Linked DNA regions of Oreochromis niloticus. The protein of the gene in region 1 interacts with the protein of each later gene in a biochemical or structural test. Links are inferred from orthologs where the notes say so. Each region holds a gene or a part of one and is shown on either strand. Other genes may lie near its edges. The genes, in order: rcc1 and ranbp3b.

Region 1 (15,836 bases):
GGTAACTCAAGAGCTGCTACATCCCAGATTGATGCAGAGCTACATGATGCTAAATTTGTGATGTTTTCTTCTTTTTTTTAGCTGCTGCTCTTGAAGAGTCCGTCAGAGGTGTGTAGTCTAAAGTCCTGCAGAGAGTGGTACCCAAATATGAGCTTATGAGAGACGCATGTAGATCTCTGAGTGACTGTGCACGTGTGCAGGTGTGTGAGAGTGGTTGTTCTCCTCTTTTATTAGTGAAATGATGAGGATCAGAGCCCACGAGCACTATGAGAAACCCCATTTTTTACTTTCCAAGAGTGAAAGGAACTAATGGCAGGATGTCATTGCCGAATTCCTGTATGAATGTGAGTCTTTGTGCCAAGAAGCTTTTGGACTATAATAAGACTGAATGCTTCAGTATGTGGAAAGCTGATAAAAGCATCAGTCCTTGACATCTCCTGGCAACCTTTCCAAACCCTGCAGATTCAATCTCTAACATTTAGCCCACTGATGCCCTGAAGGTGCATCAAAGGAACACTATATTTTTTACAGAATCAAGGATCTTTATATGATCTAGACTGGAGGTTCTATAACAAGTAAAATAAATAAATAATGGTTATTTAATTAGAAATAACATGACACACAGAATAAATGTTTCAGGTCTTACATTATAACAATGGATTAACGAAGTAAGGAAACATTAGTGATATTGAGGGGGTTACTTATCAGAAAAACCACTGCAGAACTGTGCAATGCTTTTGTATTTTAAAGGCTTTGTTCACCCACTGGGACTTTATTAGCTAAACGTGTCCAACGTCTCCTTAATGCAAATATCTAATCAGCCAATTACTTGGCAGCAACAAGGGGAAGATGACCTCAATTTGAAACCAAACACTAGAATGAGGGAGAAAAGTGATTTAAGTGACTTCTCACACAAATAAGTTTTACAGAGAAGGGTCTGAAAAACAAACAAACACACAAAAAACCTATCCTATGAGCGGCAGTTCTCTGGGAAAAAATACCTTGATGAAGTCAGAGGAGAAAGGCCAGACCGCTTCAAGGTGATAGAAAGGCAACAGTAACTCATAACGACATGAAAGCATAGATCCATCCTGCCTTGCATCATCAATTCAGGCTGCTGCTGGTGGTGTTGTAATGGTGTGGGGAACGTTTTATACTATATATCAGTCCCTTGATACCAAATGAACATGCTTTAAACCCCACAGGCTACCTGACTATTTTTGCTGCTCATGCTTTTATGACCACAGCGTATCCATCTGCTGAAGGCTGCTTGAGTTCACTGTACTTGAATGGCCTCCACAGTCACCAGATCTCAATCCAGTAAAGCAACTTTGGGATGCGTTGGAAAGGCAGATTCCCATCATGACTGTACAATTTACAAATCTGCAGTAACTGTGTGATGCCGTCATGTCAACATGGACTAAAATCTCTTAGCAATGTTTCCAGCATTGTGTTGCATGAGTATTCAACAATAAACAGCTCAGTGAGTGGGCCTCTATTTGCCTTTTCTGCAGCAAAAAGTAGCACAAACACACACACGCACACAGAGAAATGTTCTTTTTACAGTTAAAGAAAAGCAGCAAGGGTTTACTATCAAAAAGCTGTAATCAGCATCTTATTAATACACAGTAAATGAAATGAAGTAAATGTGGCTTGTATTTTCCTTAAAAAAGAAATCAGCTTTATTTTTCAGACAGGAAATGCAACAAAATACAGGATACAGTATGATGTGTTACCAAATGTCCAAACAGTTACAACAAATTTGTGTGCACTGGGTATAACGAACAGTAGTCGCACATGTTAAACTCACCAGGCGTACAGGTCCTGTCTGACAAAGGTCTAATCTACTTATTGCTTTAAAGAAAACATTAAAAAGACTATTTTTATGTCCTTAAACATCCTGCACTGCCATTTCCTTTATGTACATGCACAGTCAAATTCAGAAACATCACATATAACATCTTAGAGTCATACAAATGACCAGATGAAAAGACTTTAAAGGACTGTCAAAAACTAGCTTTAAAAAAAATAGTCTTTCATTTGTCATGATCTACCAAAAACATCACAACACATTCCCCAATGCCAAGAGCAGAGGAGCTTCCATAAAAGAGGACAAACCTCACCTCTCCCCTCTATCATGCACGTCTCACACTCCCTTGGCTCAGCATAGGAAGTCACATACATCCACCCCCTTCCCCTGATTTAGGCACCCTGAACATGGCCCCACCTTGAAGCGCCCCCTTCACTCTCTGTCAGTGCAGGACATCAGCTCTCCTGCTTGTCTTTGACCAAAAGGACGGTGTGCTGCCCTCCACTGGAGGCCATCAGTACTGCACGGTTCTCCAGCTGTTTGCCTGTCATCTTCACAGGACTCCACTCATCATCTTCCTCTCCAGTGCCAAGCTGCAGGTTGGTGCCCATGCCCCAGGCATACACAGATCCTGGAGTAGGAAAAAGTAACAGTAAGGAGAGCGAGCAATCTTTTATTCTCTAAGGGTGTCGACTGTATGAAAACCCAGGAGTGAAAGTTTAGTAGTTGTTGCACTGTGAGTGATGGCTCTGATAAGAATCCTGCTTCACAATTTTGTGTCAGACAGTCAGTCACACATTTACTGAAGACTTTTTTTTCCATATCTAAAAACTGTCTAACCATTAAAGAATAAGTTTGGACACATTATTGAATGTTTTTCTTTATTTGTACTACTTTTTACATTATAGATACAAACTGAAGACATCAAATATATGAGGCAAGATATATAGAATTATTTTGCAAAGAAAAAAATTTATAAATAATTCTAAATATGTTTTATATTTCAGATTCTTTGAAGTAGCCACTTTTTGCTTTGTTAACAGTGCTGCAAACTCTTGGCCTTCTCTCAGTGAGCTTCATGATGTAGTCACCTGAAATGGTTTTTACTTCACAGTTATGCCTTGTTAGGGTTCATTTCTGAAATGTCTTGCTTTCTTAATGGGGCTGGGACCATCAGTTGTGTTGTGCAGGAGTCAGGTTGGTACACAGCTGACAGCCCTATTTGGCAACTGTTAGAATTCATGTTATGGCAAGAACCAATCAGCTAAATAAAGACAAACAACAGTCCATCATTACTTTAAAAACTAAAGGTCAGTCAGTCCGGAAAATTGCAAAAACTCTGAATGTGTCCCCCAGTCCAGTCGCAAAAACCATCAAGAACTATGACAAAACTGGCTCATATGAGAACCACCCCAGGAAGGGAAGACCAAGAGTCACCTCTGCTGCTGAGGATAAATTCATCCGAGTCACCAGCCTCAGAAACCGTAAGTTAACAGCATCTCAGATTAGAGCCCAGATAAATGCCACACAGAGTTCCAGTAGCAGACGCGTCTCTACATCAACTGTTCAGAGGAGACGAATCAGGCCTTTATGGTCAAATAGCTGCTAAGAAACCACGACTAAGGAAAAACAACAACACAAGGAATGGACATTAGACCAGTGGAAATCTGTGCTTTGGGTCTAATGAGTCCAAATTTGAGATCTTTGCTTCCACCCACATGTCTTTGTGTGATGCAGAAAAGGTGAACGTATGGTCTCTACATGCATGGTTCCCAACGATGGTGTGATGGTGCTTTGCTGTTGACACTGTTGGGGATTTATTCAAAACTGAACCAGCATGGCTACCACAGCATCCTGCAGCGACATGCCATCCCATCCAGTTTGCCATTAGTTGGACCTAAATTATTTCTCAACAGGACAATGACCGAAAATACATCTCCACGTTATTTGACCAAGAAGGAGAGTGATGGAGTGCTGCGCCACATGGCCTGGCCTCCACAGTCACATGATCTAAACCCAATCATGATGGTTTGGGATGAAATGGACCACAGAGTGAAGGCAAAAGAGCCAACAATTGCTCTGCATCTCTGGGAACTCCTTCAATACTGTTGAAGGAGAATGTTCAAGGTGACTACCTCATGAAGCTCATCGAGAGAATGCCAAGAGTGTCCAAAGCAGTAATCAAAGCAAAGGGCGGCTATTTTGAAGAATCTCAAATATAAAACATGTTTTGAGTTATTTCAAACTTTTTTGTTTACTACATAATTCCATGTGTGTTCATTCACAATTTTCATGCCTTCAGTGAGAATCTACAATATAAGTAGTCATGAAAATAAAGGAAAACCATTAAATGAGAAGGTGTGCGCAGATGTGACTGGTAGAGTAAGTTGGTAGTTAACGTATTGTACTAGCTTCGAGCATCCCAACAAAACAAGATTAACTGTCATCTCCTGCTAATAAACTCAACATTACTTTCTCCTCATGCCTAAAGTTGGATTAAACTTGCTGCTATCTCACTGTCACCAGCAGCAATGTCTAAACAAACAGGAAATGAGGGGCCATGTGTTTGTAGGACAAATTTAAAGCTAGATAGATTTAAGGCAAAGTATGGTGTCTCATTGCACTTCAATGCTTCAGAAGAAAATAATAACAAAAAAAGGCTGCAAACAGTCTCAATTGTTTTACTCTTCCCGTCCCCTGATTACCTTGGTTCTCACCTTCTCTGGTAACTGCATAGCTGACAGACGCCCCACATGCCACTCCTTTAGCCAGCTCTATCCCCATCACAGGTGTGGGCTCGCTCTTCTCTTCAGCCCCTTCTCCCAGACCAAGACGACCATACTCTGCTCTGCCCAGGCTATATACCTGCCCTGGAAGACAAGAGTCCAACCTTCCAGCTGACTCGAGTGCTAAAGGATGATGTGTAACATCTGCCTGCGATTACACACAGTCAGCTTACCTTCAGCATCAAGGCAAAGTGTGTGATGCTGTCCTCCAGAGAAGTCTACCCAGGCGGTGGTTGAGTTCTTGAAACATGTAAGCTTTACAGGGACAAAACACATCTTGGTGCTTTTGGTGCCTAAAAAGAATAATTTGAAATGATACAGTCACTTCATGATATCTGTCGCAGTCACAAATAGCACATGGCAGTTGAGTTTACAAAGGATAACGCAGGAGTGACGAGTCACACTGACCCAGCTGGTGATAGTTTGAGAGGCCAAATCCATACACATGGCCTTCTTTTGACACAGCAAAGGTGAAGTACGCTCCACAGAAGGCGTCAACGAAGTGAACTTTCCCTTTCACTTTTACCATCTGTGGAACCAGCAGCCGCTCTGAGATCATAAAAATAAACAGGAGTGATGTATACTACATTAAAGACACTATAAAAAAGAAATGTTTATGTAATCAGATATTAACATAAATCTACAGTTTTTTATCCACCAAAAACAGAAAAGGTGTGTGCTACTTACCAAGGCCTTTCCTGCCTCCTCTGTTTGAAAAGTGTTCAGGCACTCTTCCCAGCTGCCCCTGCTCAGCTGAGCCGGACGTGTATAGATTTCCTTCCAGCGTCACCATTACCATGTGATCGTTACCTAGTAAAGAAATCAGTTACACAAATATCCCTGTTAGGAACTCATTTATAGTGCGCACACAGTAACATAAAGCACTAAACAAAAACTTTTTCTTTTTTACCTGAAACTATTTTAACAACGTGTTCTGTTAAAGGGACTTTAACAGGTAGAGCACACGTTTTCATCGGCTCCAGAAGACCAATGACTCCATTATTATCCTAAGAAAAGAGGGTAATATGTAGACATTATTTTAGACAGTCAAAACATTAAGTAAGCAGTTGCAATTTCAAAGTCTTTTCCCTACATTGTGTAGAATTACAAGAAGATTATGATTTTATTAATCAAATTTAAATGCTTTCTGATTCCACTGCATACATACTACAATATACTAAAATAGTTTTTATAAATTTGTTTTACAGCATTAATAAATGTTTAGGAACAACATTTAGGTTTTGGATAATAATATAGTGTTGAAGGCAAAATGATTTGAAACTTTTGTAGACATAGTAAATGTAACAAAGAACAAAAACAATTACATAGAAAGTAATGGAAGGGTGATAAAAATAGTTGCTGAGACAGCACTCAGGACCAGATTGCTCCCTAACTAGCAGTTCACTAACCCTGAAGGAGCCCCAGATGTACACCGATCCATCCTCTGTGAGTGCGGCTGTGTGGCTGTCCCCTGCCGATACCTGGACCACCTTCTCATTCAGCGTCACCTTTCCCGGGATCATCTCAGACCCCTCCTCTGATGTGTCCCGACCAAGAGCCCCTTCGTCATTACAGCCAAACGTGTAAATCTAAACAAAGAAAACAGTTTACATGAGGAACTAAGAAGCTCTTTGTTAAACACTACAAAGAGGTTGCCATTACATTTTTTTAAAGTGAGAAATAAGAAAAATGTTTGCTTACATTTCCAGTTTCGCTGAGGCACACGGTGTGCATGCCTCCAGCTGTCACCTGCACAATTTTCTCTGGCAGGGACAGAAGTGCTGGCTTCTTCCTTTCAATGACATCTTCGCCTAAACCCAACTGTCCAACATCACCTTGGCCCAAAACAAGAACTTGCCCTGCCTCTTTGGAATGACTTCTGTGTGAAACTGAAACACATATACAACCAATTTCATAGTGACCATTGAATTTTATTGGTTTGATGGAAAATACAAGAAAATGATTGGGGGGGGGATAAAAACACTGACAATGTAGTGTGATACACTTGGAGCCAAAGCCTTCGTTTCACATATGTGCATAATACTTGCTTAACAGAAATATATTACTTCAGCAAACTCAAATAGAAGTGGTGTAGATGTTTAAATGCAATGCCACTTTTTAGCTGGACTATCAGTTGTTCAAACTGAATCTGGTTACCCCTCTATAAACCCCTGTTTTGAAAAAGGAAGTGACTTACCTTTCACCTTTTTGGAGTCTTTATCATCTTCCACAATAGCGGCGGACTTTCTCTTGGTGGTCGTCTTTTTGGCAGGCATGATAGCAACACTTTTGGACTTTAAGAAAACATAAGGTTGTGTGTAAATTGGGTGCGTTTCTTAACTAACTGGATAATGTGAGTTAAACAATACAACAAAGTAATTTAAACTATGCTAGAATTCTTACACCACACAAAATTAAGAAACAAAAAAGCTAAACAGGATAGTTATTAGATACCACAAATGTCTCAAATTTACAACACAAGGCAGATAATTAAGTACATGAACAGCTGACATTTAACCTACAAGTTATTTGCATGTCTACCCTGGGGATGAGTAAAGTATACATCTCTCTCTATATATATTACTTACTGATACTCATGATGAGTATTTTAATTGCAGACAGAAAAGCAACGTGGACCACAATAACAAAACACTAGTGTAACCTGGAGAAAACCAGGCTACACTAGTATGATCTCTCTAAATACAAAAGCGTTTATAGACGACAATCACCCCCAAACCAGAGTCCAGACCACAGTGGCTCTTAGACAGCACTACAGACTAGCCAGCAAACCGACATAATACACAAAAAGCCTTTATTGTTGTTATAAGTCTGCCCACCAGTTCTTAGGGTTCAACAGCTGTCGGAGCCCAATTTCAATGGTTCTTTCACCCCACAAACAGCTGTGCTTCCTTCACTCCTGCTTCTCATGCTGACAAGAGACCACTGCCCACAAAATAAGGACACGTGGTACAGTTTGAAATGAGAGTCAGTTTCAGCTTTTAGTCCCCACTATAGATCGTACGACAGACGCTGGGATTTCATAAGGAAGTACTTGGATAGTGCCATCAGCTCCTTTACAGGGCTGGACAGTTTAAATTAAGCTGCGTGATCTAACGCTGGCAGTGCCCATGTGCCCTTGCTAACATTCAGTTAACTTGGCTGTTGAACGAGTTGTATATGGTGTAAAGATTGACTGTAAATATTTGTGTCACAACGAGCAACGAACGCAGCGAGAAAGCAAGAAAGAAAATATAAGCTGTTACAGCTTAACCAAAGTTAGTTGGCCGGCACTGAAAGTAAAGCTTTTCAGCCTAACCTAACGCCGGCTAACTGTTTGCTAGCCAATGCTAGCCAATGCTAGCTGGGGTGTTAGCGTGACATTGAATGAATGAAACCGAGAAACATAATTTAACAATGTAACTGCGTGCGATTCAGCGGAGCAGTATTTCTCGATACTTGTTTAATCCATCTGTAAAGTGTAGGAGGTGATAATTTACTGACCTGTGAAATATTGAAGAGTGCAGTTTGAAGTGAACGTGCACAGCCTGGTTCCCGGTCTCGAGACGTGCAACGTTACGTTCTGTAGGACCTTTGGAACGCCCGCCTCCTTAAAGAGACAGTAACACAGGAGGATGGAGCTGATGGACACAGACAGAGGTTCACGTGTATAAGTGTATATATGTATATCTATCTATCTAGTATAAAGGGCATCAGGCGAAGCCATTTATCTGCGTAAATGAAGTAATACTTGGTGCTGGAGAAAGTACTCCTATCACCTTTCTCAGAACCGAGTAACAGCACTGGAACAGGTAACTGTGGTGAATGAAACTGGCTACAGATCAGTTATATATGTAAAAGTAATAACGTCTGGTGAAACACTCAGTTTTTATTATAACCAAAGATATGAGAGTATTTTCTACTCCTCCTTCTTCTTGTTTTGGCTGTTTCCTTTAGGGGTCGCCACAGCAGATCATCTGGCTCCATCTCACCCTCAGTACCTCAAGTACTTCAAAAAGTGCAGAATTTAAGTAAAGGTACACGTCAATAGCTGTAATAGGGCAGTGTAACAGAGTTATTGTTAACAAAAAAAACAAAAAACAAAAAAAACCAACCCCTACAACAATGTAAAAGTAGTGGTATTTTCATCTAAAGTTGAATGTGTAATATAAAACCTTTACCTTATATATTTAATAGTTCTGTTATCTTGTACAATTCACTAATTACGGAAGCTGTATGTAATGTAAAAAAAACGCTGACCAGCTGATATTAAGACAGGGGAGGTGGGCATCTTTTGATTTTCACCTTTATCCATCTTGTATCGCTTTTATGTCTCTAATTGACATTAAGAGATAAGAATTTATCAGTAACCTACAAACCTTTTTTTAGGTTGTCCCTTATCTGTATATTTTGTAACTAGATTTCCTTTTGTCCAACCCAGACCTTAAAGATCTGTGAACATATTTTACCTTCAGTCTTTTCTTTCTTTCTTTAGCTGATGCTACAACATAGCCACTTCCTCACCCTAAAGCAAGGATGTCAAACTCACTTTACACAGTGAGCCACATACAGCTCACTTTGAACTTAAGTGGGCCAAACTAGCAAAACTCTCAATTTTCTCAGTGTGAAGACCTTTAGCTACACATTTAATATGAAAAAGTGCAATTTCAACTATACCTCTCGGTTTTTTGTACACGATGAAGACATACTGCTGTAGTAAATGAAAGAAATCTATTAGCACAAATAAATAAACAATTAAAATTACAGAAAAGGTTCTTGCAGCTCACTGTCCAGACTTTTCAGTAATTACACAATTGAAAGATGTTGGTAATTCACAGAAGATTATTTTTTCACTATTATAATTATTGACTTATTTTTACTGTGGGCCCATTGTAAAAATAAATTTCTATAGTCCATATGAAAAAGCAGGAGCTTTTGATTATTGATTATTATCTATGGCTTAATTACTCCCATATGGGAGATTTTATCATTAGGAAATGATGACACCCCCACCCTATGGTGTCACCTTTTCCAATAATCTAACATATAACCTATTACCTAAAATATATTCTAATTTACACTAAAGGGCCTTAAACCAGCTAATTTTTTAAAATCAAAAGACAGTGCAAAAACTTAAACCGCCACCAGGTGTTGCTGCAAACCCACTTTTTCTTTAGACGTTCCAGCTTAGACAAAAGACTCCACCTGAACACAGTCATTAGGTAAGAGAGGTCTACTGGACCTCAGTTGCAGAGTTGTTTCACAAGAAGGTTCCAGGAATTGTAAGATTTTTAATTAGATCCAGACTATTTACAATTAAAAAGAAGACTGTCAGCTCATACAGCTCCACATTCAATTAAAAATGAACTCAGATTTACAGAAAGGTGCACTTTCATATTCCCATTCTTGTAGCATTTAATCATAAACTCATGTTCTGCTTAAAAAAATAGCAACCTATAATACTTTTATATTTAAAATTTCTTTTCAAATCAAAGGAAGACAAGATATACAGAAGCATCAGATAAACCTATATCAACTTATACACACAGCACTGAGAACCCTGTAAGCTACTGGCCAGACAACAAGACAAGGTAAAACATTTCTGCAGTTTCAAAAAGTTCCAGCCAAACTGAGTTCCTGTTGACCGATTATACATTTTCAGGTGTTTTTTTTTCTCTTTTTTGTGATAAATCCCTGATCTACACTTGAAGCAACTTACATTTAACTCTTAGTTTAGACACTATCGTAACGACCTTATTTAAAATGGCTACAGAATGTATTGCATGTTCAATCTTTAAAGGGAAGTACAAAAACTTACAAAAGAAAAAAGTATAAATGAAGAGAGATTATCCAGACGCGGTGGCACTGGATTTTGTAATGGCTCATGCAGTGGATTGCAGAAATCAGTGATATGAAAACCAGTATTGGGTGTGTTGGCACGCATTAAAACACCAACAGCCTCCTGACCTTTTCCTATAGCTATTAAAAGGCCGACACATCACAACCACAAACACAGGCAAGCCAAATAATAATAATAATAATAATAAAAAAGAAGGCTCAAAGAAAAGCTCTCACTACCCTTGTGATCAAAATTGTAATAGAAAATATTTTGTGCATCACACAATATTTTGCAATGAGATCTCTTCCAGTTTCACTCTAACGTATCACAGCAGCAGTCTGTAGAGTGGATAAAAAACACACGATATCCCAGAGATGTCCAGCTCTAAAACAGAATATCCCAGTCTTCAGCCAACTCCTGACCGTTTGTGTCTATTATTACTGTGTGAAGTGTTATAGGTCATCATTATTGTTACCATTTTTATTCTACGTTATTACATTAGCGAAGATGAGTTAGCTTTTCCATATACAGTAAAGAAGAAAAAGAAAAAGGCAACACAGGACGAGGCCGCATTAAAGGTTGTAACTATATCCGAGTCCCTGAGGGGCACCACACAACAGCAGAGTGAGAGTAAGCCCTGTAGGTCCTTTGCCACTTCTCCACTTTATTGGCACGTGGTTCCCCCTTGCCGTCTGGGAGAAATACTGCATCTGGTCTCCACCCACCAACACCTCGGTTCAGTGAAAGCAATGTAGTGAGAGGGCGATGGAGGACAAGCATGAAGCATTCTCGTGTGGAGTCGGTTCCAGGCTTTCCCTGATAACAGTACATTCAAGAGACGCAAAAGGGCGATCTGTCTGCATAGGGAGCAGCTGCTTCTTTGCCGGAGATCTTAAGTGCTTCTTTATCCGGAAGCAGGGATGTTAAGGCCGATGGAACCTAAAGAAAACAAACAGCTCTCATGAGGCAAGATCACACCTTCGTAATCCTTAAGCTATTAATGCAGGGAAATTCATTATATCGCTATTTAAGGTACAGATTTTTCTCTAAAAGTCTTCTTCTGCCAAGGTTTCATTGTTAGTGCTGGATTCTGCCATTTAACCAGGCATGCATAAGAAAGCTGACCAATCAATCAGTTTCTACATGGATCTCTCTGTTTACTTGTCACAAGTCTATTAATGTAGTAGCAAATCACCACTGCTGCTAATTCATATTTAAAGTGTTTAGGTGCAAGCAACAAAGATGGCTTTAAGTGTAAAGCAAACACAAGACACACAGTGCATGTGTAGCCAAGGCAGCCGACGTCTACAGACTAAAATAAGTGACATCCTGAAGACTGTTAAACAGTAAGTCCTTAATGATTGAGGGAGTATGAAATAAACACTTGACACAGTAGCAAGCTAACAAACTCCTTTAGCTAAAACCTGCTGCTGGGGGGAGATGTCTTCAGGATGAGCGCCAAGGTTGGCTGCAAATGGCAGAAAGTGTTCAAAGATGCATCACTCTCAAGTGTGTATTACATATTTCATTGTTTCCCTGACACAAACAGGAGAAATAAATAACAACAAAAACAAAACTGTGTGACGTTTGCATGGCTTCCCTGTGCTCCAGGTACCCGTCTTCCTCCCACAGTCCCAGGTTTTGGGAGGTCATGCATGTGAGCTCAATGGGTGATTCTAAATTGGCCGTAGATGTGAAAGTGAGTGTGAGTGGTTCATCTGTCTCTCCTTTAGCTCTGCGATGGACTCATGAGCTGTCCAGAGTGTACCCAGTTTCTCGGCCTATGACAGCTGAGATAGACTCCATACCCCACCAACATGAAGAGTGGTGTAGAAAAACAAATCAGCAAAACACAGTACCTCACTGTTTTGACCAAGTCAATCAATCAGCCAGTCAAGTTTCAACTAAAAGGTATACCTTGTGTAAATTCTGCTCTCTTCATGAACCTCCATTTCAGTGCTCTTATAATCATTGAGCTCCTTCCGGATGGCCGCCTAGACAAAACAGCAATTCGGTTAAACATGAACTCAGAAAGAAAACGAGACAATATACTGCTAAAAAATTACATGAACCTAAAGGAGTTGCATGTGTTTAACATTTAAAATGTTTGTAACACTGTCTTGGACATTTTGTAAAGTGCTGTATCAGAAAGCGGTTGTGCCGATAAAGCCTTTATATGGAGCTGATTACCTTGTCAGCAGGTGTCAGCTTAGTCCACGGCTTGTCTGCTCTTCTATCGTAGTCCTGGGCATCTGTGACTTCCACATACTCGTGGAATCGCAAGATTTTTCTTGCCTGTAGTTCTGCAACCGTGGGTCTTTGACTCAGCTACAATAAAGAGGTTTTTTTTATGTCAGTTTAATATCAGGTAAATAAATGGTTTAACACTGGGATGTTTGCAGGTGTGCTGCTTCACCTTTCTGGTCAGCCGTCGCTTGATCTCTCGAACTTCGGCTTGTCTGTCAGCCTGATTTTTAGCTGAGGGAAGAACAAAGATGGGAGAAAGAATAGAAGAGCCAAATTTAGACTTTGGCATAAAAGGCTTGGTTTGATGGCAGGTTTAAAAGCAATTTCTAAAATTAGATATGTGCTTGTTGTTAACAGATGTGAAATGTACTTTGTTAACAAATGCTGAGGCAAAAGCATCAGACGAAAGAATGAGGAGTGGTTTTGCTAAAACCCAGAAACAAAAGAGTCCAAACAAGTCAAGGATCATGAACAAAGACAGAGAGAGTTAATACTAACGCTGGAGGATGTTTCTTTGCTCAAGTTCCTCAGCAGTGGGTCTCTGGCTTAGTCGCCTGAAATAAAAAAAAGAAAAGAAAAAAGAAAAATGGAGTCCTATTTTTACACATTTACTTCACTTGGACATTCAGGTAATAAGCAGGTCAAGGATCTATTAAAAATTGGTCTAATTTCTTCAGGAAATGCACTTTCACTGCTGTCATTTTAAACAATACAATGATTCTGCTCATCTTTACCTCGTGAGTGCAGTGCCAATTTGTGTGCGAATGGCTTCCCACTGCTCTCTGCTCTGCCAGGTGAGGCCAGTCTGTCCTGGAGGCTGGTCATCTCGGCTGCTCCTCTCCTGCGTAAACCTGTCCCTGTCGGGAGCAGAGGGACGGCTGCTCAGCTTCAGAGCCAGGGTGTCCTTTCTCTTCACCCTGCTGGCCAGTGCGCCTGGATAAAAGCCAAGCGGAGAGATGCAGTAAGCTGAGAAGGAGCACCAAAACGCTGCACAGGTTTACAAAGAGTCCGGAAAAGCCACTAAATGACCTCCAAATCAGTTTGTTATGCTTACTCATCGGGGGCTCATCCTCCTCATCTTCATCTGAGTCTTCATCTTTATGAGGCACAGGACCATCTGAATCACTGTCCTCCCCGTGCATGTCGTGTTCGCCTTCCTCATCCTCATCCTCCTCTTCTTCCTCGTCCTCGTCATTGCTGTTTCCCCGTGGGATGACACAAATGCCAGCGTCACCGACCAAGCACCGGCGACTCCTTGGCTCCAGCTCTGGCTGTGGAATCTCCCCATCATACTCCTCCTCTTCCTCGTCATCTTCTTCCTCTTCTTCTTCCTCTGAGTAGTCATCCTCAGATCTAACAGGAAAAAAATGCATGCATATAAAATATTTTTTTGTTTTTATTTGGCTAATTTTGAAGACGTGTTTTAAATAAGTTTAACTGAAATATGTCCCTCCAGCTATATCTGACTTTACAATGATGAAGACTGGACTGTTTTTCAGCTTGAAATGGATACACAGGTAAGTACAAAGAGTAAACAGCTTAGAAAATGGATGAAAAAGATCCTCAAAGCTACATGCAAAGACAGATCACATGCAAACTCCATATTTCTTCACCATGTAAGACTGTCTTTGTATACACCGATTCACTAATTGACTTTTCTGTGCAGAGAAACTTACAGTTTTAGTGGTTGAATGCTGACAGGCAGGGGGCGACCACGGTCTCCTTGGTACTCTAGAGGTGTTTCGAAAAGCAGTGTGTGCGCCCGCTGCGACCCATCTGGATGTGGCTGAGCCGGGCCGGGACTGGACAGGGCTCGCTGGATCATGATGTGCAGCGGTACGGGAGCCGGGCGCTGGGGAGACTCATTGGTCGGGCTCGGTGGGTCGAAAAGCATTGGTATGGGTTGGGGCAGCGGATGGGGGTAGGAGTGCTGATGGTGGAGGTGGTGGGTCTGTATGTGTTGGCGGGGTGGAGAAGGTGGTATGTGAGTCGGCAGGGGTGGGGACGGAGGAGGGGGAGGCAGCTGGAAGCCCACAGGGAGGCTGCTGTGTTCCTCCAGAGAAAGTGGTGAGGGGATGATGGGATGGCTTGAAGCAGAGTCCTCTGTGTTGCGTTTGGTGACTGGGGTGGTCCTCTTAGGAGGCATTGGAGGAGAGGGTTTGGCCGGGACAAGGCTAGCGCCCCCTGTTGCTTGGGTGAAGTCACCTGCAAATGGAAAAAGAGCTAATCCAACCATAACTGCTACAGAAAAAGAGCTACAGCTTAGGCGTGAGAGTGACTTGCTAGCAAGTGCTTTACTTTTGAATCTAGTTTGTCACTGTGACGCAAGTGCACAAGCATCAGTCACACATGTATTACATACCCAGTATGACAGAAGACACACGAATGCTGGGATTACATGTCTGACTGAGCATTACTGCATCCATACAGCAAGTTGGTTCACATGATGGCCATGAACGCACACTTTGCTCTAAAAGACCAGTGTGCAGCGACTGCTCCAGTTCACAGAGACAAAAAAGATGCATCCATGCTCTTCACAGCCAGACTCTAACCCCACACCGACACTTTATCTATTAGCGTAGTAAAGCTCCTGAAGCTCCTAAACAAAAAGCTCAAATGCAAACCTTCGAGTTTTGCATGCACTTTTGCATATTTGCTATTTGGCTCTTAAGACTTCAGAGGACAGCTTTAAGGCAACATTTCTGTTAAAGCAGAGCCGTGCTACGTAAGACATAATAAGTGAACAGTGCTGACAGACTTACAACATGCAGTAATCTACACAGTAATGGACTTCCTCTCTATATTAAGTCGAGCCCTTATGTTAGAACCATTTTGCCTTTTTATTCTTCGACCCATTCAAGTCCACCCATCCATCCCATTTGAGTGAGAGCTGAGTGGATTAGAGACATAAAATTCATTTGATGCATAGCAGAACACAGCTGGAACCCGCTAAAGGCCCTCCCTTATACAGAGGCAAAATACACTCAACTGCACTCACACAGAAGTTGTGTACAGTAAGCACACTCATTATCAGCTTGTTATATGCATGCGGCTCTTATATACCAGGTCCAAAGAAAAGCAATGAAGGCCAGTGAACAAGTTAAAGGCTTTTCAGAAGACATATGTTGGCAGCAGGAAAGGATGCGACATGATGAAG
Region 2 (16,015 bases), on another chromosome or scaffold:
ATATGTTAGCTATTAGCAGCAACCAACGAACTAACCAACCAGTGACGTCACATTATGTACTAAACAGGATGGTGCTACACATGCTCTAGAAAACATTATTTATTTTTCAAATCCAATTACACAGACTGTCAAATCCCCCTTCCCCAAACACACACTGTTGCTTGACACAGAAATTCTTGCTTTGAATTCACCTGCTCACTCTGTGTCACAGCCAGCAGAAGGAAAACTCACCTTTGCTCTGTCTTTGATATTCTGACCAAACACAAATGATATTGCTACATTTGACTCTTTCTTCTCTTTTCTTTCTCCATCCTTGTTACCACTTGAGCCATCTTCCTCATTTTCATGTTTCTGAAACAGGAAGAAACAGAGCAGCAGGGTCAACTAATATAACTACTGTTCACTGAGCCTTTATCAGATTTGAAGGATCTTTTACCAACAGGAACTTCCCCTGCATGCAGCAAGTTTCATTAATATCTTCCACAAACCACACTGACTGCAACTTGCACCTTAACTGTGTTTGCAACTGACTGCATTGCATAAAAACAAACGGGACCCCCCAGTCTCACTTAGAAAAAAGCGACACTGCACTTTTAGCAGTCTGGGTCATTGTCAAGTATGTAGCCAAAATACTAGAGAAGTGGCATACAGCAGCAAGACGTGCCTAATTTTCCTAATGCAAATCCATTTACTTAGCAAGCCTATTAGTGGCACAGCAATATAGTTAATATTTCTGGATGAAACTGATTGCACAAAGCATCATTTAGTTACTAGTTAATTCATGCAATGTAGTGTGAGGTTCCCATCATAAATCAAGAATAAGAATCAGCAAGCTGCCCGAATCTCTGGTCTCACTGCAAATCCATCTGCATAGCTTTAGACAGTGGCTAGTAATGACACTCTGAAGAGCTAGTGAAGGGCCAGGTGCAGACAAAGACCGTGGATTTGGGGTCTATGCACAGGATAAAAACTTACAATTTCCTTTATTCATCCTTACAAGTATCAACGGTTTTAATATCCAGTATTGTGGGAAACACTGAATACAACTATGCTAACCCTGCTGAAGCACATATATGTGCTTCAGTGGCCAAATGACTCCAAAGCGGTCTCATTCATTTTCATGCTGTTTGAAGAAATGTGTCCTAGCAACATCTGTGCTTCATTATTTCTTCAATTATCAGAATTTCTAACATACTCGTGACTTAAGAAATAATGAAGCCAAAATGTTTGCTTTACTTGTACAAATGATACGCATGTGAATGAGTCATCACTTTGAAGTCATTTGGACTTTATTGGGTGCTGAAACCGAAGCCTCATCATAATGAATTTATTAAAAACAGTCATAGCACAAATGTTTATTTGGCCTAAACAAATGACTGAAACTGGCTGGACTGCTGTTCTGAACACTACGAGTAGCAAACTGACGCAACCTGTGTGGTTTCTCTTTGTTAGTCAAATTATGTTCGCCTTTTTCAGCTGTGGCTGAAAGATTCATTAAAAAAAACAAACAAGCAAAAAAACCAAAACCTGTAACGATGGAGAGCTGAGGTAATGACAGAAAAGCAAGTGTTGCAATGTAGTAACATGTTTGTGACAACAGTTTACACATGTATGTTTTAATAAATATGTTTATATTATTTAATCAAATGTAAACAAAAAAACATTTAATAAAAACATGAATTTTCTATGCTGGAGCTTTTCAGTCTATGACTTGTATCTATTGCCGCAGTAAAAAGACAAATATGTCAACAGGACAAATATAACACACAAGCAAAAACTGTAATAAAGAACTAAACAAACAAAACCTGCAGGAAATGCAGTCATATTTGATTTTCGTCTCCTAATTATAACTGGTTTAGGTTTTGCTACTTCTCACCGGTGTCTTAGTCAGCGTGGCTGAGTGCTCTGTGTTGTTCAGGAAGAGGGACTGGGTCACAGGTGCACCATCTGATGACTTTTTCACACCATTGGTTCCACAACTGGAATCTACAGACAGAAAAAAAGAGAAATGAGTTCAACTTTTCACCTATCCTGATAGCATTTGAAGCGACACACCTCATGAGAAAAACAGCTTGCACAGCGAGAACAACGATTGCAATTATATCTTAAATTACATGTGATTAACTAATGAGTGTAAAAGACTCTGAGCTTTACTCACTGGACTCTAAATGTGATTTAGAGGGCGGTGCCTGGAGAACTGCAGGGCGGAGGACACTGCGTTGCTGCTCCTTGGGTTTCTGACTAGGGACACCTGCAACCGAGGCAGTTTTTCTCATGATTTGTACACACAGTTATATCTTTTACATGTACATGTTGATGTGTGGGCTGCTCAGAAAGAATTTTAAATAATCTGCAAATATTCAAAGCTCTGCCTGGGAGTGGAGTACAAGTAAGGGGTTAGGTCAATATGACATTAGTAGTCATTTGGGATCCCTTTAACTTTTTTTTTTTGGGGGGGGGTGTCATATTTGCACAATCTGATGTTATTCCACACCATAACCAGCATTCAAATGCTTGACTTTTTGTGACAGCTTTCAAACATAGTTGTAACTTGTATAATCATATCACTTGTTCGTGAGGACTGTACCAATGTCAGTGCTGATAATTAAGATTAAATGTCCTCATCAGATAAAGCCTGAATAATAAATGATAATGCATAATGAACAGGATCGGTCTGAGTAAATATCTGCCAAGTATGAAAATTCCCTCCACCCTGTGCATGAACTGAGTGTCTGGATCAACAATGAGTTTACATCTAGATGGGTTTGTGATATTTTTTTGAGCCTCATGACGATATCTGATGATATCTGCCAGTTTTTCTTATTTCAGTAACAAATCTAAAGTAGTTGTGAAGATATGATGCAATTTTGCTCCATCTAAAATAGTAGAAACCTTTTCCAAATATTTTGTATGTGTGGACCAAGTAACACCTAATGCAAAAACATTTCATGCAAATCCAGCAACAGCTTTTGTATTATACTGCAAATAAACAGAAAAACTGAACCAACTACAAAAGCTACTTGCCAGATTTTTGTGGTCAGGTATATTAAAAAAACCATAGTATAAATAACACAAAAATTTTTAAACATCTACCTGAACTTGGTGCCTGTCCATGTATGAGAGTCGGTGGTTTTAAACGGAACCCCACAGGCTTCTCCTCTAGTGGAACAAACCATAAAAAGAAGCAAAAGTTAAAAAAAAAACATATTCAGGTATTGCACAACAACCTAATGTGAGCATGCTCTTCTGTCTTTGCAAATTTTGTAACCACAGAGCCAGTTACCACAGCAACCCTCGTACGGCCTTAAGAGTTGTGTTGGAATCTCGGTAACATGGCGGGCTCTAGGGCCTTTGATCTATTTCTACCTCCGTCTCTTCATCTCAGTGGCTTTATTGGGATGCCATTAAGTAATCAGCACTAGAACAGAAACCCAAAAGCACATGCGAAAAGCCACATCCTGTTTGTCCTCAGCGTTTAGGAGACCATTCCAGTGTGCATAAATGTTAAGCCTAGTAAATCAGGCAATTTTAAACCAACTAGTGTGTGAAGCTTAGATTGCACATATGCTAAAGAAAAACATATTCAATCTAATTATAAGAAGTATTTGCATAATTAAATATAAATGAACATGAATATCTTTCAACACTTTTACTAACCACCAACTCTCAGGACATGCACGCAAACAATGAAGAAAACAACCACAGAAGCAATAGAAGCACTATAAACATTTTAAATGCAACTAAAATAACCAAACTTCCAGCACATAGTGTAGTTCTGCATCTCTATTAACAACATTTTTTGGTCTGTTCATCACTCTTTTTACTTTCAAATACACACATTATGTAACATGCTTCAGGCAGTTATTAACTACAGCCTGTTTGTTTGCTCAAGTGGAAGTAGTCTCCGTAAATCTGTTGACTAGTGATTTAAACCTCTATGTCACTTTTCAATTGAGCTCAACCCATTAAAGCAAAAAAATAAATAAATAAATAAATGATTGGGTCACGTTTATCTTTGACAAGAGATGGGATTAAAAGAAAAATCCATAAAAATCATACTTCCTTATTCTCCCTTAAAGTGCTTCTGCAATAATAATTTCATATCTCTATTAACTAGTCAGTATTTTTCATAATGATATTTTCCCCCATTTCGACTCGTCTTACCAGTGTAATATGACCTTGATGAAAGTGATTCAACAAATTAAAGTATGAACGGCTACTCAGCAAATGACTGATTAAGCTGAGCTGCACACATTAAACAAAATCATTTAAATTTAACATCTAAAGTGATACAACAAATTTACTAGTCAGACTTCCTATAAATATTATGCTTTGGAGTAACTGGCAGGAAAAGCAGACACAGACAAGTGCTGCTAAGTGCAAAGCAAAGTTACCACAAGATAATTATTTACAAGCTTCGTGTTAGAGATATGCTACTGATAAACAATGTTGTTAATCCAGCTTCGCCCCAACTTCCTCTCCTCACAGTTACTGTTTAATTTCTTATTTAAAAAATATGCATATGTTTTTGTTCCCATTAGCCTAATGTTATGTCAACTACTACTTTTTTAGCCTTGTAGATTTCCTGTGCAAATGAACAACAGATACATTAACTGCAAGGGGCATAAACAACATTAAAAAAAAAGAACAAATTTTAGTTTGACAGAAACACACCTCTAACCCTGGCCAGGAGCTTGCACAAGCAAGGTCATGAAGCGCAAACCTTTAAAGTTTAAAACCCAACTTACCCTAACCCTACCCTACCAGCTTATTTAGAATTTCAGGTTATATTTTATAAATTTGCAAAGAAAGAAATACTTCAGTTACAAAGAAGGCTCTAATGTGGGAACAGCTATTATATCCAAGACATACTGTATTCATAGAAAGACACCATAGACACCTAAGACAGCGCTAAATAAACTAGCTTTTAATACCTAATAAGCTAGTCCTCTGTAGCAGTGGCACTAGGAAAATTGCTGTCAGCTATCACCACATGACACTAGGAAATCATAAAACACAAACCCTATGGATTTACTAATGTCAACCTCAACTCTGCCTTTTTCAAATTCAAGCATCATAAATTTGTTTTCCAGTTGAATCTGGCAGTTCAGAGCTATATTATATGGAGGCAGGATCACAAGCGACTCAAGGCCATATTGTTCTTTTCTTATAAGAAAAACGAATTCTCTGTATTACTGAAGGTTTTGAGAGGGCGGAGAATTACAAGATACAGAAAAAGACTTCTCCCTGCTTGGTATACTGAACGGTCTTTGTGCAACACATGACACAAACTGACAGATCTTTGGAGCAGTGAGAGCCAAATGAGAAATGAGCAAGGAGAACTGAAATCTCAAAACAGACTAAATACAAAGACTTAAATTTAAACCAAACAAAAACAAGATGCAGAAATGTTTTGAATAATACAAAAAGTTGCAAAGTAAATACTAATCCTACATTTATAAAAATTAGCTTTCAGTTTATGTTTATGCAGTAAAGACTCTGAAAGGACAGCAGTCAAAACCTAATGGACAAAATCAGAGTGAAATAGCTAAATTAGAGTCAACTAGAACTGGTGAGAGTTAAGAGTTTGTGGCACTTTTAGAATTACCAAAATGATCTGTGACTTAAAATCTTTAAGTCACCAAAAGCTACTATTTACCAGTTTTAGTGAGCATCTTGTGCCAACTGCCTTAAATTGTCGATGTGTTTGGTTTTTAATACTGAGATTTTTACCACAGGGGCCCTTTAAGCTGTGAAAGGAAAACTAATAGTGGTCTAGATTGCTCACCTGGCTCGGAGTCAGAGTTCCCAGTCGGAGACTGGCAGAAACTTGAGGGCATGAATACATTGTTCTTAGGAACTGCAAAGTAACAGACAGACACTGCAATCAGCATACAAATCAATGTGTACACCACAGGCAAAAAGCAACATTAACTAAACGCTCTGCTTTGCTTAGTCATCACGTGCCCTTACCAGAATGTGGGGGTGGGAATGATGAGGTCCTTTCCCTTTTCACAGGGGGAGTATAGCTTCCCTCATCTTTATCTGAATCTGAAAGAAGTGAAATGATAATGACTGTATGTCAGTTTAAACACAAAGATAACATGGACAAACAAAGTGGCCAATTTGGATACTTCATTTACCTTCTCCATCCTCTGCACTTGAGCCCTCAGCAGATCTCTGCAAGGAAGTGCAAAAAGTTTGGGGGTTTTATTTATACCAAAGGAGCACCATTACTCATATAAATCCTAGGTAGCTTTCTTAAATTCATGAAACTTTGACTTAATTAAATTAGAAACAAACTAGCAAGGAAGATGTGCGTTGATTTTGCAGGAAATTCTGCTAACAGTGAAAAATTTTAATCCAAGAACTTTTCTGGGATGTGTGCTTTTCAGAAACTCAGCTTGACTAAATGTTGGCATAAATAACATCGGCAAACTCAAAAAGGCAATTTTAGCCCTTATAAATAAAGAAAAAACAAAACAAAACAGAAACTTACCTTCTGTGGTTTATCTTTATGGAAAACAAACACAGGGGGCGCTATGGCAGGCTTGTCTGTTAAGAAAAGATGTAGGCTAGTCATCTAAACACTAACTTATGGTGTGCAGCAGTACTGTCTGTCTGATTCTTCACATGACTGTGGCTCAAAAGACCCTATGCTGTGGCTTACGTCTTCTGTGTACCTGAACATTTTAAGTGTATTTGGACATCTTCAATTTTATAGACTGTACTGCTGATTAAAAATAAAAAGTCTAACTTTTCAAAAATTGCTATGGTAAAGATTCCAGTGAGTTAAACAACTGTTCACAACTAATTTAAATGTAAGAAACTTAAAAAGATGACCTGCAAAAATGCAGCTTATCAACAATCTGATTTCTATCTGTGTCAACCAGCCAGGCGAAATCATGTCATCAAACCGAGTACACTAAACTTAACCATACAATCCTATTAGAAGTTCCTGGAACAATTAAATCACATTAAGTTTAACTAAAGTGAACAATCCACAATAAACTAAATAACGTGATCAAATGTAAGATATGCAAATACGCGTATTGCAGAATAGACAAACTAGACAGAGACTGTGTAATTTTAAATAAATAAATAACTAAATGAGAAATTATGAAGCCTTCCACCGGTATTTTCTTGCCTCCATAATCTATGATCATAACATAACAAGAATAGCTAAAGCCAGGCTAGGCGATAACTTGATGTCAGCTCAAGCCACTTAACGACTCTATGTTCACACTGTACCCTGGTGTAAGATGTGTAATCCTATAACGTTAGCAGACAAAGGTTTTCCTCTGTCTGGGTCAGGCCTGTACACTGAACAGGTGTAGCATCGCTGTAGCTGCGCAAAACATGCATGCATGCGATATCAGCCAAAAAGCCGGCAGCACATAGCCACGATTGTTTCCTGAAGCGACAATCACCGCTTTGACACACGCTCCGCATGGCTTATGCTGATCGTTTGTGTGAAACTAAAGAAAATGTTGTGTGACCTACATTTTACCCCCACCTTTGTATCTGCTGTCTGTCTCACAATCAGCTAACTTGTCCAATGAATATAGGATTTCCGGCATGCAACACTTCTATTCACCTCTGAGATACAAGTAGCCCCAATGCGTTCCTTGCTTATGATAACCAGTTAGCATATATACCCATCTGACCCTTTTCAGTAAATAGTCGGCGCCACTGCTTGTTCCTTAAAGCCGAGGGAGGTTTAGCTCGATGGCTATAGTTAGCCTGCTAATGCGCTCCAACCAGCATGAGTCATCTCGCCTGACAAACAATGTCACTACAGTTCTCAGTTTATCCTCCCATATTAAAAGCCCAACATGATGACAAGCTGATTTTAATGGAATAAGAAAACGCGCAGACAAGCAGAGGCTAAACCGAAGCATTGTCTGACTGGCTGACATTTTTCCTCTACGCGCCTAAATGAACGTTAAGCAAAGCTACAACGTAACGCTAACAACATGAAATAAACACGGACACTGTTTCCAATCACTGTTGTTCTTACACTTTAGCTTCGTTACAAGCTGTGCTTTTCAACTTTAGCTTAGCCAAGTTTGGTGTTTATAACCACCTTAGATCGTTTAGCTCACCACAAATGGCAACAAATACACACACGCCGACTATAAATAGCCGGGTGCTAGCGTTAGGAGGTAAACCGGCTAACTGACAGGCAGAACTGGAGGGCGTTCCGAGACATTCCAGGTATTACCCACAGCCCAGCGTTAGCATTGTTAGCCTGTTTGCTAACGCTGTAACCTTATATACGCCGCGACGTTATTAATCCGCCTGAAGTCGCCATTTACGTGTGCCACAGTTGCTTTATTTCAGCTATCCAATATGCAAACAGTGAACAGACACGCTTTACATGGCCACAGTAGCTGTATTGTTTTTCTCATTCTGCCACTTACTCACCTTCGTTTGCCAAGTCCGCCATTTTACTTCGACGCTCACACACCCACAACCCACCGCGCAGATAACACAAGTCAAGGCAGCAATGTGCTCACAGACACCCGTTTGCAAATGCAGCCAGCGACCCCTGCCCTCGCCACCACTCTTTTAGTAAACCAAAAATCTAGTATATGTCCATGCTTATCGATGTGTTTATGTCCTTATTTATAATTCAGCTAGCCCAAAGGAAGAGCTTGAAGTTTGCCTGGGTCGCCTAACCCACTATTACAGCTTTCCCAGGCCCCTGTGTACCAACACAGACTTTAAGGTATTATTAACTACGATAAAGCTGTACATAAACACCAGATGATGACATGAATGGCTCAGGTTTGTTAACCTAGAAAACAGTGGTTTAGCGGAAAAACAAAAATACAGTCTCCGAGCACGTCACAAAGGCATCACCACAGCCAGTGTTAGTGGTGAGTTTATAAGCGGCGTCTTTCTTGAAACGTTTGCGTACTTGTTTATTTGTCTTTCACATTTCAGCTGCAGTTCTTCCTTTTTCTAGGTGGTGGTTATTTAACCAGATTCCCAGTAAAGTAAAGGTAAACAACCAAGGCGTCGTTCATATTTCCTGTTTCCAAATGATGCCTGTCCTGTAATCACAGTGCTTACATTTATACACATGGTTTATGCAAGGTCACCTCATAGTAAAAAGCCCTGTTGTTTTGAATCTATTGCCCTTTTTTTTCTCCTGGGGTTTACGCATTGGTGTTGTTTGTAAAGGCCACATTTACAGTGCCGTGTACAAACATGACAACACCACTGACTTTACTGCAGTGCAAATTGGCTTTGATAGACACACATACACACACATGCACGCAAAAACGGCATTCTTTAAGATAGCATAAGTTTAAGATAAGACTCTTTTATTAGTCCCACAGCAATGAAATTTCAAGTGCTAGAGCAGTACAGAGATAACGCCATAAACGTCACGCCTAAGTACAAAAAAAATCGTGAGTGGTAAAGAATAACTCAAATGAGCAATACCAAGATGACAAACAAATAGATAAATAACATTTAAGCAATCTCTGTGCTGATGTAGCACTTGGAATTTACCAGGCCTGTAACCAAAACACTGTGTGATAATGGCTCACATTATTTACATGAAGTGCATTATTATAGGAGTGATTAGGCCATGATTAAATCCTTTCCTAAGGATGAATTTGAATTCTGCCCATTTTCTCAGTTTTTTTCAGCTGTCAGAAGATTTTCACAGCTTTGTGTTTTGCACAGAAATGCGCAATAACGTTAAATGTCTTTTTCCAGTGTCCTGTCAGTGCAGTTCCACTTTGCTTCCACTAGAGGGCAAACTGTTACTGCAGCTGAGCAAATCTGTTACAGGTAAGCAGTGTCCACATTTTTTCCTGATGGCTTCGGGACAAGCTTTGAAACTACAGACAACTTTACAACACCAACTACAAAATTTTACAACACCAACTACAAAAGCAATTTTTATTTTTTCGTAAAAACCAATAAATAAATATATAAATATTCTCCAAGGCATGAGGTAAACACAAAGCATAAACTGCACAAGTGCATGAAGTATCAACTCTGCAGTGACAGTATAAATGAAATTATTGACTTGTGGGGCTTTGCTTTTTGCGTTTTGTACTTTTTGCAAATTCTTTGTGGAATTTTGGCGTGCATATAGTAAGCAAGCATTCACACAGATATCCAAATGTGTAAACTACATATGTTTATTCTGGATACAGTATCATGAAAAATATGGGCGGAAGGTATTTCCTTTGTTTCCTGAAGGAGTTTCAAAACAATAAAACCACAGCGGTTGAAAACGAAAAGATTTGTGCTATATATAACAAGAAAGAACGAAAGCAGGTTCTGAGCTTATTTGTGCATCTTATTTGCCTTGGCCGGCTCGATAAAACCTAAAGCCCCACCTGGATTTATCAAGTATAATTATAGGGGTTGTCAATATTCTCTGTTAAGCCGGGTTTTCTGCTTCAAGTTGTATGCGTGGTCACATATAATGGGACATTTCACAGGTCGTGACTCCTCTATGCTAAATGATCCCTGTGAATGACGCCTATTCCAATCAGAGACATTATCAGAGGATCATGAAGATAAATGGTGGTTAAGTGATTAAGGTGTGGCTACACATTAGACACTTTAGAGCTGTGGTTTGTGGGCCAGTCAATTGGAAATTAATTTCACTGACTGAAGCGGTATTGTTGGTGTGTGTTCTGTGTTCTATTAGCTGCAATTCAAGCAGTGTGAAAGAGACTTAGCTGTAGATTAGACTCAAGTATGCAACCTTCAGTTTGCACTTTATTGTGTGGTTTTCTTGCACATATAAAATGTATTCCAGCAGAAAATCTATATACTGCATGCTGTAAATAAAAGAATCATTCAAATTATGGTGCTTCCATCAGATTTTAAATTAACACTGGGAAACATAACCTGCACCTGACCAGGTGATGTGTTCGGCATAAGTTACCATGGTAATTTATCGCAAGCACTTCTGTGACATAGAAACTCCAACTTTAAGCCCAACATAGCTTAGTAGGCCATTAATCTCACTTTCTAGTACACCCTTCAGGCCGTAGTCTTTGTGGTGTTGAGTTTGGCAGTTTGGAAAGTGCCTGGAGTGAAATGTAAAGCATCGAAATGTTTTCTTTTCTCTTTTTTCTTTGCATGTTTGACAGACAACTGTGTTAAAATTTCTTTAAAAAAGTGTAACGCTGAGAATATACATGTGCACATTTAGTTTGGCTACAAGTGTTGATGTGGTTGTAGTGGCTCAAGAATCACTCTTAGAGCTTAAACATTCAGAAAATATCATAAAATACACATAACACAGTGCATGCTCAGACAGTGAGGGCAAAGCTGTGACACTATGTTTTTTATGGTTAGAATGTTTAATTAAATTGAAAATATTTGAAAGTCTTTCTAATAATAAAATGTTAATAATTTTAGCCTTCTTTTAAAAGGCCTTTGTTAGCAGCTATATGTTCATCAGCTTTCAAGAGCCGTTTGTAACTTGAGCCAACTTGAAATTGCGTTTCCCATAGCACTTGTTGAACTTCACGGACGATCTTTTATCGTAATACAACATTCTTCCTGAAGATAACAGGGTAATCATCCTGTTACGATTAGAAATGTTGTAATCTGGGAATATTGGTATTAAGTGATTCATTATTTGGTGATAATGGTAAGTACCCCTGCTTTTCATCTTCTAATAAATGGTCTTTCCCTGCATATCAGGCAGAGCCGCCTGCTTAGTTATGAACTAGATTAAGAAATGTAAGTTAGGCATAAAACAATAGTTAAATACAACACAGACATGAATACAAACCAGATCTTTGCCTTCTTTGCTCAAATGTGGTTAAGGAACACTGAAAAGAGGACATTTCATAAGAGTTTGCCTGAGTTGACCAAAAGTTTTCAGAAATAATCATGCTTGAGATTTCCCCTCAGGCTCCCCTCAAACAAGCCACTGCATGTGTTTATACTGTTCGCTGCTGAGGGCTGTCATCCATCAGACGAGCTTGGCTTCTGCTTTGGGTCATATCAGTTTCTCTTTTGTACTTATCCACTGGTGTAGCGAATGTCCACTGTGCATCACTGTGTTTGCGTCTACGGGCAACAAACACCCCTCACTCAAAAGTTGGGATCCACTCCCCCGCATACGAATAGCAAACTGGCACTTTAGCGTTCACCGAACTCTAATTCATTCGATGGGGTTTCTATCATAACGAGTCAAAACCCGTCATGGCAGATCTTGTATCATTATCAGGAGGGTAAAAAGTAGTCTTTCAGTCAGAATCCATGCGTGGTGCAAAACCTGACTTTCTGCCTTCCTGATATGTGTAATACCTGTGTAATGATAACATCTACTTTGAAGTAGTCCAAGATTTACAATACTTTTTACATAACAGGCTTCTCATTTTCCAGAGTTTTGTAACTAATACCTAAAGATGAAACTCTGGGGGAGTCCCCTACAAAAACAGGGGGTAATTATGGTTATGTAACTTTCTTCCACAAAATCCAAAACCATGTTATTTGTTCAGTTGTCATTTGGAGGGCAGAGCTGATTGCGTAATACACTAGAATAAAATAAAACTGCTAGGGGAAAATAAAAAACTCCCAAAATACTCAAAGTAGCCACATTATATGGACAAAAGTATTGAGCCACATGTCTTAGTCTTTGAATTCAGCTGTTTTCCGTCCCATTGGCACATGCATATAAAAGCGCCCAGCCATGCAGCCTGGCTTTACAAACATTTGTAAAAGAATGAGTCATTCTAAACAGCTCAACCATAGTAATGCTGCAGGATTCCCTCCAAGATACTTGACAATTGATTGTCAGTGGTATTATTGCAAAGTGGAAATGTTTAGCAACCACAGCACCGTAAAGTTACAGAGTGAGCTTGATGAGTGATGAGGCGTATATTGCTTAGAAGTTTCAAAGCTCCTCTGGCGTTAACATCAGCACAAATCCAGTGCACTGGGAGCTTCATCCTATGGTTTTCCATGGTCCATGGCCTACAGCTGTAATGTGCCATAGTCTTTGGTCCATAAAGTTTAGTAGTGTTGTCTTTCATTTCAACTCGAATCCCGCAAAAAATGTGCATATTTGGTAATTTGTTTTGGGTTTTCTAGTGTTCCAAATGTGTTTGAAGTGTTCTCCAAGTGTTCTCATTTTCTCCCTGAGACTGAAATACGTTTTTTCCAGACTCTGACAGACAACTCTAAGTGCCTGCAGGTGTAAAATTACTCATCTATCATTAGAGTCAGCTCTGTGATTGACTGGTGACCTGTGTCTTGCCTCTCAGTCTCACAGTCATAGCTCAAACAGAATCCAAGCCCCCGCAACCCTCACTGAAGTACATCGCTGATATATGGATGGAATAAATTACAGGTCTGGGACAGGACAGGAGCTCCGGTCTCCCGGACAAAAAGCCAATATGCATCCACCTAATCTTACTATCCACGTTACTACATAACATGCACACATAGATCTGTCTGCCACTGTGGTTTTTGTCAGTTCTGCCATCATAACCAGGTTTTATTTTGATACTGCAATAAATGTTCTGTGAAATGGGCCATTAAGGTTCCCAGAACTTCTGGGAAAGTGTTGCATCTCTAGAGGTGGCTTTTTGTATGTTTATATATGTTTATGAATATATAAAATCTCATTATTGCACTTGCAACTGGCTACTAAAGGTCTGATGTCCTAACCTAACATCAGAAGACAATAAAAAAGACTTGTTATTGCAGAGGCCAGTAAGATCATAGTAAACCTACGCCTGTTTGTTGTATTCATTTCCTGATTTCTATGTTGATTTAATGTTGACATGAAAAGCAAAAAGGCCGAATCATAGTGACGTTGGCGGCACAAATCAATGCCCCTGAGATTAAAGAACCTTTTGATCATGTTGACCCGGTGATTTTTCCTTCCAGAAAACAGTTTAAAATTTAAACGTCAAATGAATTTTGAAAGCATTTAATGTTTGCTCCTCACGGGCATGCTTCCAAAAGAAAGGAAGGGCGGGCGGAAGGAAGGAAGGAAAGAAAGAACGGATTTGCAACTCCTTGACCTTTGCTTCAAAATAAAGCAATAATAATAAAACTGAAAAAGAAATAGTAGAAGCTAACTTGTTTTGGATAGCTTTCCCATGTGTTTGCTTTCATTTTTCCTTTTTTTGGTACACTGCAGTTTACAAATGGATCGTTGCAAGAGAAGTAAATATTAAATCAGTATCATTATTCGGTCTGCAGCGAGTAAAAAGCCCTGTCCTCATCTATACTGCTGCTTCTTCTTCTTCGTTTTTTTTTGTACTGTGTGCCAAAGTAAAGTTTCTCAAACAATAATAAATGTGTTCTTGGAGATGTTAAATGACAGCGATAATGAAGGGATAAAACAACATATCACATTATCTGACGGGAATGCTGAAGACAGCACTGTGCATCTTTGCACAGACAGAGTCCAAGTACCTTTGGCAGCAGACCATCATCTTCTGACAAATACTCAATACCATTAATCCATCAGGATTTTTCAAATATGCAGTCACATACAGGAATAGAGCTCGGCACAGCCAACAACCTTTTTTTTTCTTAGAAGTTACTCATTGGTTTGCCAATGAATGTTCAGTTGAATTGTACTGTGATCAAACCCGCACATCTAACATGAAATATTCACTGCAAGACCAGAATTGCCCCTCCAAAAAAAAAGAGACAATTTAATCAGAGCAATCTGAACGTATGTAAACTTCTTTAGAGCCTGGGTGGCATCAAATGCAGATTCTCTCTTTACGACACATGCAGGTTGCATGTGGGAGCAGTAAATAACTGAAGTGAGCACAAGTATCCTGCAGGCACAAAAGAAAAAGAAAGGGACAGGTCAGTGGCACGCTTCACAACGAAGAGTGCTATCAGATGTCCACTTAGCCGCTTGAGGCTCATTAGTACCTGTCACAGGGCGTTCAAAAAGAATCCTTTTAAATGTGCCGCAGGAGCCTCTTGTCAGGAATTAACATGGGTGGATATGCATAGATGGATTCTGACAAGTATCTTTAATGCAAAGTTTATCATCTGTCAGAACTTAATACGACTGTAGGGAAGATGCATGTACATCCCGATGTACTCTTGAAGCTCAAGTTTCCCACATTAAAGTCAGGTTTTCTGAGAATACTGAAGAATGTAAACAAGCTTTTAATGTTGCGCTAACATGTATTCACTACACCGCACATATCAGACTAATATTGGTTCTGAAGTCAATATCTGAGCCTAAAAGGCAATTATTATTATCATGTAAGGTTGGGCAACATTAATGTTATATAAACCTGCACTCATGACTTTAAAATACAAAGACTTGTTGTCTTTTTTTATGTCCCCTTTTTGGTAGGGTAGGTTCCAAGGGTCAAAATGTAGTTCTCATATTTCCGTCAGGCCTTGTGAACTATGCTGATATAAAGCCTTTATGGTCCGATAAAACTTTGCATAACACCTGCAGGGAATTTCCACACATTTAAGAGTAAATGAACAACAACAAACCTTTCATCTTTATTCTGTGATAGACATCAAAATGTTTCTTTTGTTATAGAAAAAAACACCATACATTTACTGTGTGCTCTTAAAATATAGGTGGAGGTGTGAAGATTTATGTTATCAGATGAAAAGATTACAGAGTCTGAGAGTGATTCAGTCAAATGAGGCTTTAAGATGAATTTATCAAGAGATCTAAAGGAAAATCTTATGTTGGTATGTAGTAAATATGCTGTTAGCGTGTCAGAAAGATCTTATCAAATTACACAATTGTCAGTTTCCAAAAAAAGAAAAGACTCAAGAGATAGGAATGGTTTTCTGTTTTGGAATTTTAATATTCAACTAAATCCTTATTTTGTTGTTTAAAGGGTAATTTATTTTGGCATAAACAGAAATGTCTTATTAGTCAGATATTTGACTATTATTGCTGCAGCAGCCACTGCTCTGATTTTGCAGTTTGATACAATCAGCAATTATGCAAGAGCGGCTAGAAAAAGATCGGTCATAGTCTGCTCCTGCTCAGTGGAGAGTAGGTACTTTGTTT

Evidence for each region.
Region 2: the proteins of rcc1 (region 1) and ranbp3b form a complex in vitro, tested with the Homo sapiens proteins (2 studies listed by BioGRID). The link is inferred for Oreochromis niloticus from reciprocal best matches to the Homo sapiens genes RCC1 and RANBP3.

The regions. Positions count from the first base shown.
Region 1 is NC_031976.2:7,336,411-7,352,246, reverse strand, and holds rcc1 (regulator of chromosome condensation), read right to left. Parts: upstream 8,236-15,836; 5' UTR 8,098-8,235; intron 6,891-8,097; 5' UTR 6,873-6,890; coding exon 6,794-6,872; intron 6,486-6,793; coding exon 6,298-6,485; intron 6,186-6,297; coding exon 6,006-6,185; intron 5,604-6,005; coding exon 5,507-5,603; intron 5,407-5,506; coding exon 5,284-5,406; intron 5,146-5,283; coding exon 5,005-5,145; intron 4,890-5,004; coding exon 4,770-4,889; intron 4,681-4,769; coding exon 4,516-4,680; intron 2,442-4,515; coding exon 2,266-2,441; 3' UTR 1,648-2,265; downstream 1-1,647. Other genes in the region: phactr4b (phosphatase and actin regulator 4B), read right to left, coding at 11,356-11,371, 12,350-12,426, 12,623-12,760, 12,849-12,910, 13,178-13,233, 13,414-13,612, 13,734-14,032, 14,356-14,884. UniProt on the Homo sapiens protein: Guanine-nucleotide releasing factor that promotes the exchange of Ran-bound GDP by GTP, and thereby plays an important role in RAN-mediated functions in nuclear import and mitosis.
Region 2 is NC_031982.2:23,312,031-23,328,045, reverse strand, and holds the start of ranbp3b (ran-binding protein 3b), read right to left. Parts: upstream 8,577-16,015; 5' UTR 8,450-8,576; coding exon 8,428-8,449; intron 6,556-8,427; coding exon 6,500-6,555; intron 6,181-6,499; coding exon 6,144-6,180; intron 6,052-6,143; coding exon 5,974-6,051; intron 5,861-5,973; coding exon 5,789-5,860; intron 3,160-5,788; coding exon 3,094-3,159; intron 2,252-3,093; coding exon 2,159-2,251; intron 1,987-2,158; coding exon 1,877-1,986; intron 352-1,876; coding exon 232-351; intron 1-231. UniProt on the Homo sapiens protein: Acts as a cofactor for XPO1/CRM1-mediated nuclear export, perhaps as export complex scaffolding protein. Bound to XPO1/CRM1, stabilizes the XPO1/CRM1-cargo interaction. In the absence of Ran-bound GTP prevents binding of XPO1/CRM1 to the nuclear pore complex.